Linked DNA regions of Ovis aries. Each later gene encodes a partner of the first gene's protein in a complex. Links are inferred from orthologs where the notes say so. Each region holds a gene or a part of one and is shown in the gene's direction. Other genes may lie near its edges.

Region 1 (4,022 bases):
GAGCTCCCTTCTGCTGCCCATCGATGGGTGGGATGACTGTCTGGGCCATGAGTTGTCCAGGTGTGGGTGCAGATGGGAGCCAGGGCAGCCGCAGTGGGCTCTGTTTGTCTCAAGAGGTCAGTCAGTCTTAGACAGGAGTCCACTCAGGACACTTGGCTAACTTGGTCTCCTGGCACCTGATTTCCAACACCAGCTGGGAGAGGCGGACTTCCCCAGTCTCCCTCAGGGTCTCATCACAGCTCCTGAGTCCTGCTTTCTTACCCTCCAGTCACTGTGCTCAGGGCCTCTCTTACCAGCAGAGTCTGCTCCTGGCACTGGCAGAGTCATGCAGAGGAACGAGGATGGGATTTCTTTTGGGGGCTCAGGCTCTTGGAGGTGTTAGAGAAAAGCTGCCTTCATGAGGGAATGTGATGGCATTGGAGGTTAACGTGGGAGAAAGGACCCTATCTCGGACCTGCACCCACACTGTGGCCTGGCCTGAGGAGGGGCGTGTCTTCTCTTCGGCAGGTGACAGCAAGGCACATAGGTGGTACCGCAGGGTGCATCCCGTGCATCCAGCAGAATGAAAGGGACAGAATATTCTATTTATGTATTTGCTGTTGTTCAGTCGCTCAGTGGTGTCCGACTCTTTGCCACTCCATGAACTGCAGCACGCCAGGCTTCCTTGTCCCTCACTATCTCCCGGAGTTTGCTCAAACTCAAGTCCGTGAGTCAGTGATGCCATCCAACCATCTCATCTTCTGTCATTTTCTTCTCCTCCTGCCCTCAATCTTTCCTAGCATCAGAGTCTTTTCCAGTGAGTCGGCTCTTAGCATTGGGTGGTCAAAATCAACCACTAAAACCGTGTGGTCTGGTCTTATTCTAATTGGATCATTTTGCTACCGTATTTGGACTGGTCACTCACATGAAATTACCATTTTCCTCCTCATCGGAAAGCAGATGTGTTCTGAGAACGAGGCCGGCAGCAGTTCTAGACACATTGTGAGTAACCCCGATGTCCACTTGCACTGGACAGGCGCACCCTTCTTGACCCTAAGTCTGAATCGCCCAGATGTTCAGTCAGGCGCCGGGGAGGCCGGGGTCCATGGATGGAGGCTGTGCTCCGGGTGAGCCGGCGGGCGCGGGGCGGGGGGCGCGCAGGCGGGTAGGCGGGGCGGCAGGGGCGGGGTCGGGAGGGGAGGGATGTCTGGGGCCCGCGCGCACTCGCGGCGTCCAGCCGTGTTCTGCCGCTGCGGGTCGTGGGAACCGCGCGCGGAGTGGCGGGGACGCGCTCGGGGGTTGGGGGGCGGCCAGAGCGCGGGGTCCGGGTCTGGGAGCCAGCGCCGCGGGGTTGCGGATGCCCGGCAACCCGCCGGCTGAGTGGGATTCGGGAACGCTGGGTTCCGCGCGGTCCAGCGTCGCTGTTCCTCTGCGTGCATCTCCCGAGCCGGAGGTGAGCCTTGGGATTTCGAAGTCCTTGGCAGCGAGGGCTCTGCGCTCCAGGGGTCTCTTGTCCCTGGGGTCTCCGGGCCGCAGACTGGGGACAGTTCCTCCCGGGAGCTGTGCCTAGGAAAGGGTGGGGGATTTCAGGCACCAGGGGAAAGGACGGCGCGCTCTCCGCCCCTCCTGGTACCTGCGGCGCGTCTGCTGGCCGGGGTGGCACCCAGAGAGAGGTCCGTGCCCCTGTGCCTCCCCGGGGTCTTCCGGCCAGGGTGGGTATCAGCGGGTCGCAGGCCCCTGCACCGCCGCGCTCGCGTGCTGGTTCGGACGCGGCCAAAGTTCGCTTCCCGGGTCCAGTCGGTTCTCTTGCCCCCGCAGGTGCCGCCTGTCCTTGTCCCGCTGCCGCAGCCGCCGGACATGGAGCCCCCAGTCCAGATCTTCCGCGGTGAGCCGGGCCCCACCTGCTCCCCGAGCACCTGCCTGCCCCCCAACGGCAGCGGCTGGTTCCCGGGCTGGGCAGAGCCGGACGGTAACGGCAGCGCGGGCTCGGAGGACGTGCTGCTGGAGCCGGCTCACATCTCCCCGGTCATCCTGGTCGTCATCACGGCCGTCTACTCCGTGGTGTTCGTCGTGGGCTTGGTGGGCAACTCGCTGGTCATGTTCGTGATCATCCGGTGAGCGCGGGGTCCCGGCGCTACAGTGGCCGCAGCCGGAGGGAGGGTCGGGCTGGTCACCGGGACGCGCGGAGGAACGCCAGCGGGGTAGTGGGGACCCCATTCCGTCCCGGCTCCGGAGAGGTTCAGGGGGCTGCCTCTTCGAACTGAGAGTTCCTGGGAGACATTTTGCTGTGGGACTGCGAGGTTCGCACAGGACGAATCCAAGAGACCAGAGGTGACTTGAAGGTTTAAGAGTGACCCTCCCCTGCGCCCCAAATCCCTGCAGAAGGCCCTTCGGATGGAGATAATGGGGTGTCCCTGCAAGAGACAAAGTCAGTGTCTCCTGGGAAGGAAACTAGTCCAACTGCCTGGCCTTTTGCCTGATTGCCTGCACCAGTTTGGAGCACTTTGTTTTGCCCTTGCAAATATTTCTTTAGATAAAATTCATGCCCACTCAATGCCCTGAAGAGAATTCAGGATTTCCTGTGACTCATCAGAATGGTGTTATGGTTTATGAAGCAAATCCAGTATACTGTTTAGGTATCCACATGTGAGCCTTGTAGTACTGACATGCCACCTCATTTGTTTAGAATGCCAGTCACTTTGGTACCTAAACCATCTAGTATTTGTCTCCTACAGTATGGGTGCTGGAGGTTTCCAAAAATTGTTTTGCTTTTTATCTCCCACCATGGGAACTAGAACTTTCTTTTTATTGTTCTTTTGTGGGCCTATTGAAGTCAGCTTCCAATAATAAATACCTAAATATCTGCATATATGCTAATTTTCTAGAAAGTGAAGTGATTTGTATTTTGGCCTTTCATAACAAAGGAAACAAGTAAAAAACAGAAATCCTACCATTGTCTGGATACCCTTTGAGAAATTTCCCTTTCTGGGAGACTTCATGGTTTTCAGCTGCACATTTGAGAGTGAATACGAAGATGAGACATTCCTGTGTATAAAGAAAGGATGCAAGTCACTCTGCTTAGAGGCATAGAAAGGATGAAGAACTTTTTTTTTAAATCTTGACTTTAGTTTTGAAACATGCTCTTTATTTATTGTGAACTGTAAAGACAATATCTGCAGTAGCATGAATCTTTCAAATACCTGTTTCCTTTCTCTCTCTCTCTCTGACTTGGGAATGTCACCACATTTATCCTCATCTGTGCTACAGAACTGAAAACCATCTTTTAAGCCTCCAAATACATATTATAAAGCTCTTTTCACCTACAATTAGTGTCTCTAGCTTGGTGACCTTGCTTTCCACAATTGCTTATTGCCTTCCACTGGGCTTCTATCAGTGATGAGTACAGGCTACAGAAGTAGTATTTTACAAGCAAATTGTTCTTCCAAATCATTAGTAATTGCAGGGCTACTCTCCATTAGAAAGAAGATTATAGTAACCAAGAGAAAAGAAAGAACAGCTGTACTCTAAACTATAATTAAAATTTCTAGGAGATCTTTGCTACAGAGGCCGTTGTTTTATAATAAAACATTGTTACAGAGAAAGGGGATGCCAGGAGGAAACCCACTCTGTTCCTGCTCCATCATACTTGAGTGCTTGAGTGAAACAGATACATCTTACTGTCACTTGAAGGAGAACTTGAAGTTTTGAGTCTGAGAGGCTTCTTCAGTTGCTCTACAGCTCTTTGTATAGCCCTGCAGTCTAGGATTAAAAAGAACAAAGAATCCTAAAATATGTGAAAAGATAACTCCCTGCGGAGCATTAGACATGTCAGAAAGAAAGAAGAATCACTGTAGATTGACTAGAATTTTCAAGATAAGTACAAAAAAATATAAGTATAAGCTAAATATGTCTATCTCAAAGACATCCAAGACTAAAGTTTGTGAAAAGGGGATAAATTCAGCCAAAAATACACAAAGAGTTACAGAGTTCATGTAATAATATTATGCATGTGCCCACTACATTTGATAGTAAATGAGGAGTGA
Region 2 (3,855 bases), on another chromosome or scaffold:
TCGTGCCTTCATGGAACCAAATTTTAAAGACTCACATGGGTAGTTACCGAGAAGTGGACTAGTTTAGAGGAGGAGGCACAAATCTCTGGAAAAACACAAGGAGGAACATCCCTTCCACCTAAGAGATCAGAGAAAGCTGCCCGGAGGAGGTGACATCTACTCTAGGACCAAAATGACAGAAAACAGAAGAGGAGAGGAGGGTTTTCTAGGAAGAGGATTTTCTAGGAGGATTCTCTGGCCCCAGCATGTGCAAAGGGCCAGAGGTGGGACAGGTGCCACTCCATTCATTAGGGGGTTTGCTAGTAGCTGAATATGGTCAGAATACAGAGTTGAAGAGCTGGCTACAGGGTTAGAATTGAGGGTGTCTCTGAAAATGAGTACTTCCCTGGTGGCTCAGACGGTAAAGCGTCTGCCTACAATGTGGGAGACCTGGGTTCAACCCCTGGGTTGGGAAGATCTCCTGGAGAAGGAAATGGCAATCCATTCCAGTATTCCCTGGAAAATCCCATGGATGGAGGAGACTGGTAGGCTACAGTCCTTGGGGTCACAAAGAGTCAGACACGACTAAATGACTTCACTTTTCTGACATTTAGGAGAAGGGCCCAGCCTGACCCAATCCAATGGTTCTGATCCCAGACCTGATATACCGAGAAGGGCATTTCAAGGTGGGCAGGAGGGATCAGCAAAGGAGTGGAGGCAGGGGGGGCCAGCACGATCGGTGAAGGTGGAGCCATGGCTGGGGCAAGGAGGAGTGCTGGCATGGGGAATGTCCACAGCAGAAAGGACTGGGCTGGGGCCAGCCTGGGGAACAGGGGACACAGGCAGGGGGTAGAAGCTTCAGAGAATGCAGAGAAACAGATAACCACATCTTCTGGCTTGGTGAGTGGTCAGAGTGGGTTTGATTTTTGTCCGCTTCCTAGCTGTGTAAGCAATCACTTGCCCTCTCTGAGCCTCCACTTTCCTATCTAACGGTACAATCCACATTAGGAACTATTGGGCAGATTGAATGTGAGCATATAGGAAAGCTCCCAGTACACTGCTGGCGTTCAGCATGTTAGTTCCCTTCCTTGACCGCTGGCCTTGGGCACCCACTGCTCCTCCATAGGCCTGTTTTCTTGGCTGTAGAATGGGAACAAGAACGGTTGCCTTGCAGTGCAGTGCTGCCAGCAAGAGTTGGCTTTGCAGGCTAAGGACACACTGCACAGAGTAGGCGATCACAGATTTCCTTTCCTCTTTCTCCCTCTCCAGCAGGAAGAGCCAAGACAGAATGGCGTGGCAAGGGCTGGTCCTGGCTGCTTGTCTGCTCGCACTCCCCTCCGTCACAGCGGACTGCCTGGCCCAGTGCTCCTTGTGTGCTGTGAAGACCCAGGATGGGCCCCAACCCATCAACCCCCTGGTGAGTTTCAGGCAAGGCTCCTCAGTGCCAGAGTGCATGGAAGGGGCAGTCTGTGTGTGGAGCCCAGAGAGGGAAGGTAGCAGGCCTGGGCAGCTGTGAGCCTGTTCTGTAGACTCCTCCCAGACTGTGCAGAGCACGTCCTGCCCTGTGGTAGGTCTGGGCAGCTAGGGATGGCTGTTTTCCAGACTCCTGTTCCCTCCCCAGACCTTACCGCCATAGGCTCACTCAGGTCTGGGACGAAAGCTCAGATTTCCAGGGAGCCTGTTGCCTGATAGCAAGGAATGTCATTTATGAGGTGGTGTTGACTTTGGGTATTGGCAACCCAAGATGAACTTTTCAGGGCTTCTTACAACCAGGCTGATGGGCACTCCCAAATATAGTCAATTTCATGGAAGGAGCTCTTTGCACCACCACTTGGCTGGCCTTGCTGGCTATACTTTGAATCAAGCTCCTCCCTGTGCCTCTCCCACGACAGCAGACAGCTGTAATAAAGGTTCAAGGGTGTGGTGGACAGAACATGGGCTTTGGTTCTGCCAATTTCTAGTTCCGTGACCCTGGAACCCCCTCTCTGATCCTCAGTTTCCTTGCATGCAAAATGGGAGTGATTCCATGAGCTGATGATGCAAAGTATTAACGCTGGCCACTCTCCGCTGAGAGGCACACAGCACACCACGTGCTGCCCATGTATTGGTTTGATCTCAGAAGTGCCCAGTGCTTAGGTATGATGACTCATGGCATTAGAACGTGGGTGCAAGTTCTAGTACTGTCTAGTATTGTCATTGTTGTCACTGTCATTATCAACACCATCGTCATCATGTTTGACTCCTCCCTGCTTTTATGAAGTATATACTGTCATCCCAGGGTTAGTGAACCCTTAACTCCTCACACGTGTTCTTTCCACCATTCTGCATTGCTTCTTTTCTCTGTGTAAAGTGTGTGCAGCATTCTTTATACCCAGGAAAGGTTGGGGGAGCCAACTAGTCCCTCTGGAGTCAGAAGCAGAAGATTATGGGTGAGCCCAGGAGAGCACTATGGCAAGATTTTCCTTCCAACTTTGACAGTGTCATCTGTAGCCATGGGCCCTTGAAAAAGCTGTTTCATCTTTCCTCGTCCTCCACATGGGCATAAAGTCACTTACCTTTAGGCACCATTGGGAGCATGAAAGTGGGTAGCCTGGGACTTAGTAATGGTTTTTTAATTTTCTCAGACACTGGACTGGGGACTGTCTGGGGCAGGAGGTTGTGGCTTGACAGTTTGATGGAGGTGGCATTACCACTGTGGTCTTCTGGGGTCTCTTGCAGGTTTGCTCCCTGGAATGCCAGGCCGCCCTGCAGCCTGCTCAGGAGTGGGAGAGGTGCCAGGGCCTTCTGTCTTTCCTCACTCCCTTCACCGTTGGGCTCAATGGCAAGGAAGACTTGAAGAGCAAGGCAGTTTTGGAAGAGTCTAGCAGTGAGCCGGCCAAGCACATCAGGCCCTACTTGAAGGAACTAGAGAAAAACAGATTCCTTCTCAGCACCCCAGCAGAGGAGAACACTCTGAGCAGCAGCCTGGCGGAGAAGCTCAGGGGTCTCTCTGGCAGGTTGGGGGAGGATGCAGAGTATGAGTTGATGGGGGATGCTCAGCTGAACGATGGTGCCCTGGAGGCTGAAGCGAGGGATTCCAATGAGGAGGAACCCAAGGAGCAGGTCAAACGTTATGGGGGCTTTTTGCGCAAATACCCCAAGAGGAGCTCAGAGGTGACTGGGAAGGGGGCTGGGGAAGGGGAGGGGGGTGAGATGGGCCATGAGGACCTGTACAAGCGCTACGGGGGATTCTTACGGCGCATCCGTCCCAAGCTCAAGTGGGACAACCAGAAGCGCTATGGTGGCTTCCTCCGGCGTCAGTTCAAGGTGGTCACTCGGTCTCAGGAAGACCCCAGTGCCTATTACGAAGAGCTTTTTGATGTGTAAACACCTCCCCATCATGGAGTTGAGTCAGGAGCTTCCCATAATGCCCTGGAGATTGGAGTGAACTCATTCATCCGCCCTTGTGGTCCCCATCCCCATGCTCAGTTAAGCATTGTCTACAAGACTTCTAAACCTAGTCTGCCTCTCTTCTGCCCAGATACAGTGTTTGTCCAGGTCAGTGAGGAAGGAGGAGAAAGGTTTCCCTCTCCAGTAGGCTTAGTGCTTGGCTTCAGCCCTACGTCTCTAAAACTACCACCACCAGCAGCTTTGCTATCAATTCCCTTTATATGACTCCCCAATCCCAGGAATCCAGACTGACCTCTTGATCCCTCTGGATCTATGATCAAGTATTCTGATCAATGCCCTTCAAAAGAAAAATGAACATTCCCCTCCCATGCAGATAAATAGATATATCAATATCTATCTATACAGATAGATAGCATAAAACATATAAAAGGTAGAAATTTATAAATTTTTTTAAAAGGTAGAAATTTAAAACAAAATAGATATATA

The links. Proteins that work in one complex are often made in the same cells at the same time.
Region 2: the proteins of OPRK1 (region 1) and PDYN are in contact, whole or in part, in a cryo-EM structure (PDB 8F7W), measured with the Homo sapiens proteins. The link is inferred for Ovis aries from reciprocal best matches to the Homo sapiens genes OPRK1 and PDYN. Residues at the interface, in NP_000903.2 of Homo sapiens: Thr111, Gln115, Trp124, Val134, Ile135, Asp138, Tyr139, Met142, Lys200, Glu209, Cys210, Asp216, Tyr219, Lys227, Val230, Phe293, Ile294, Glu297, His304, Ala308, Leu309, Tyr312, Tyr313, Ile316, Tyr320; in NP_001177821.1 of Homo sapiens: Tyr207, Gly208, Gly209, Phe210, Leu211, Arg212, Arg213, Ile214.

What each region holds. Positions count from the first base shown.
Region 1 is NC_056062.1:34,733,141-34,737,162, reverse strand, and holds the start of OPRK1 (kappa-type opioid receptor), read left to right. Parts: upstream 1-1,218; 5' UTR 1,219-1,336; coding exon 1,337-1,432; intron 1,433-1,797; coding exon 1,798-2,093; intron 2,094-4,022. UniProt on the Homo sapiens protein: G-protein coupled opioid receptor that functions as a receptor for endogenous alpha-neoendorphins and dynorphins, but has low affinity for beta-endorphins.
Region 2 is NC_056066.1:52,860,988-52,864,842, forward strand, and holds PDYN (proenkephalin-B precursor), read left to right. Parts: upstream 1-1,267; coding exon 1,268-1,396; intron 1,397-2,697; coding exon 2,698-3,345; downstream 3,346-3,855.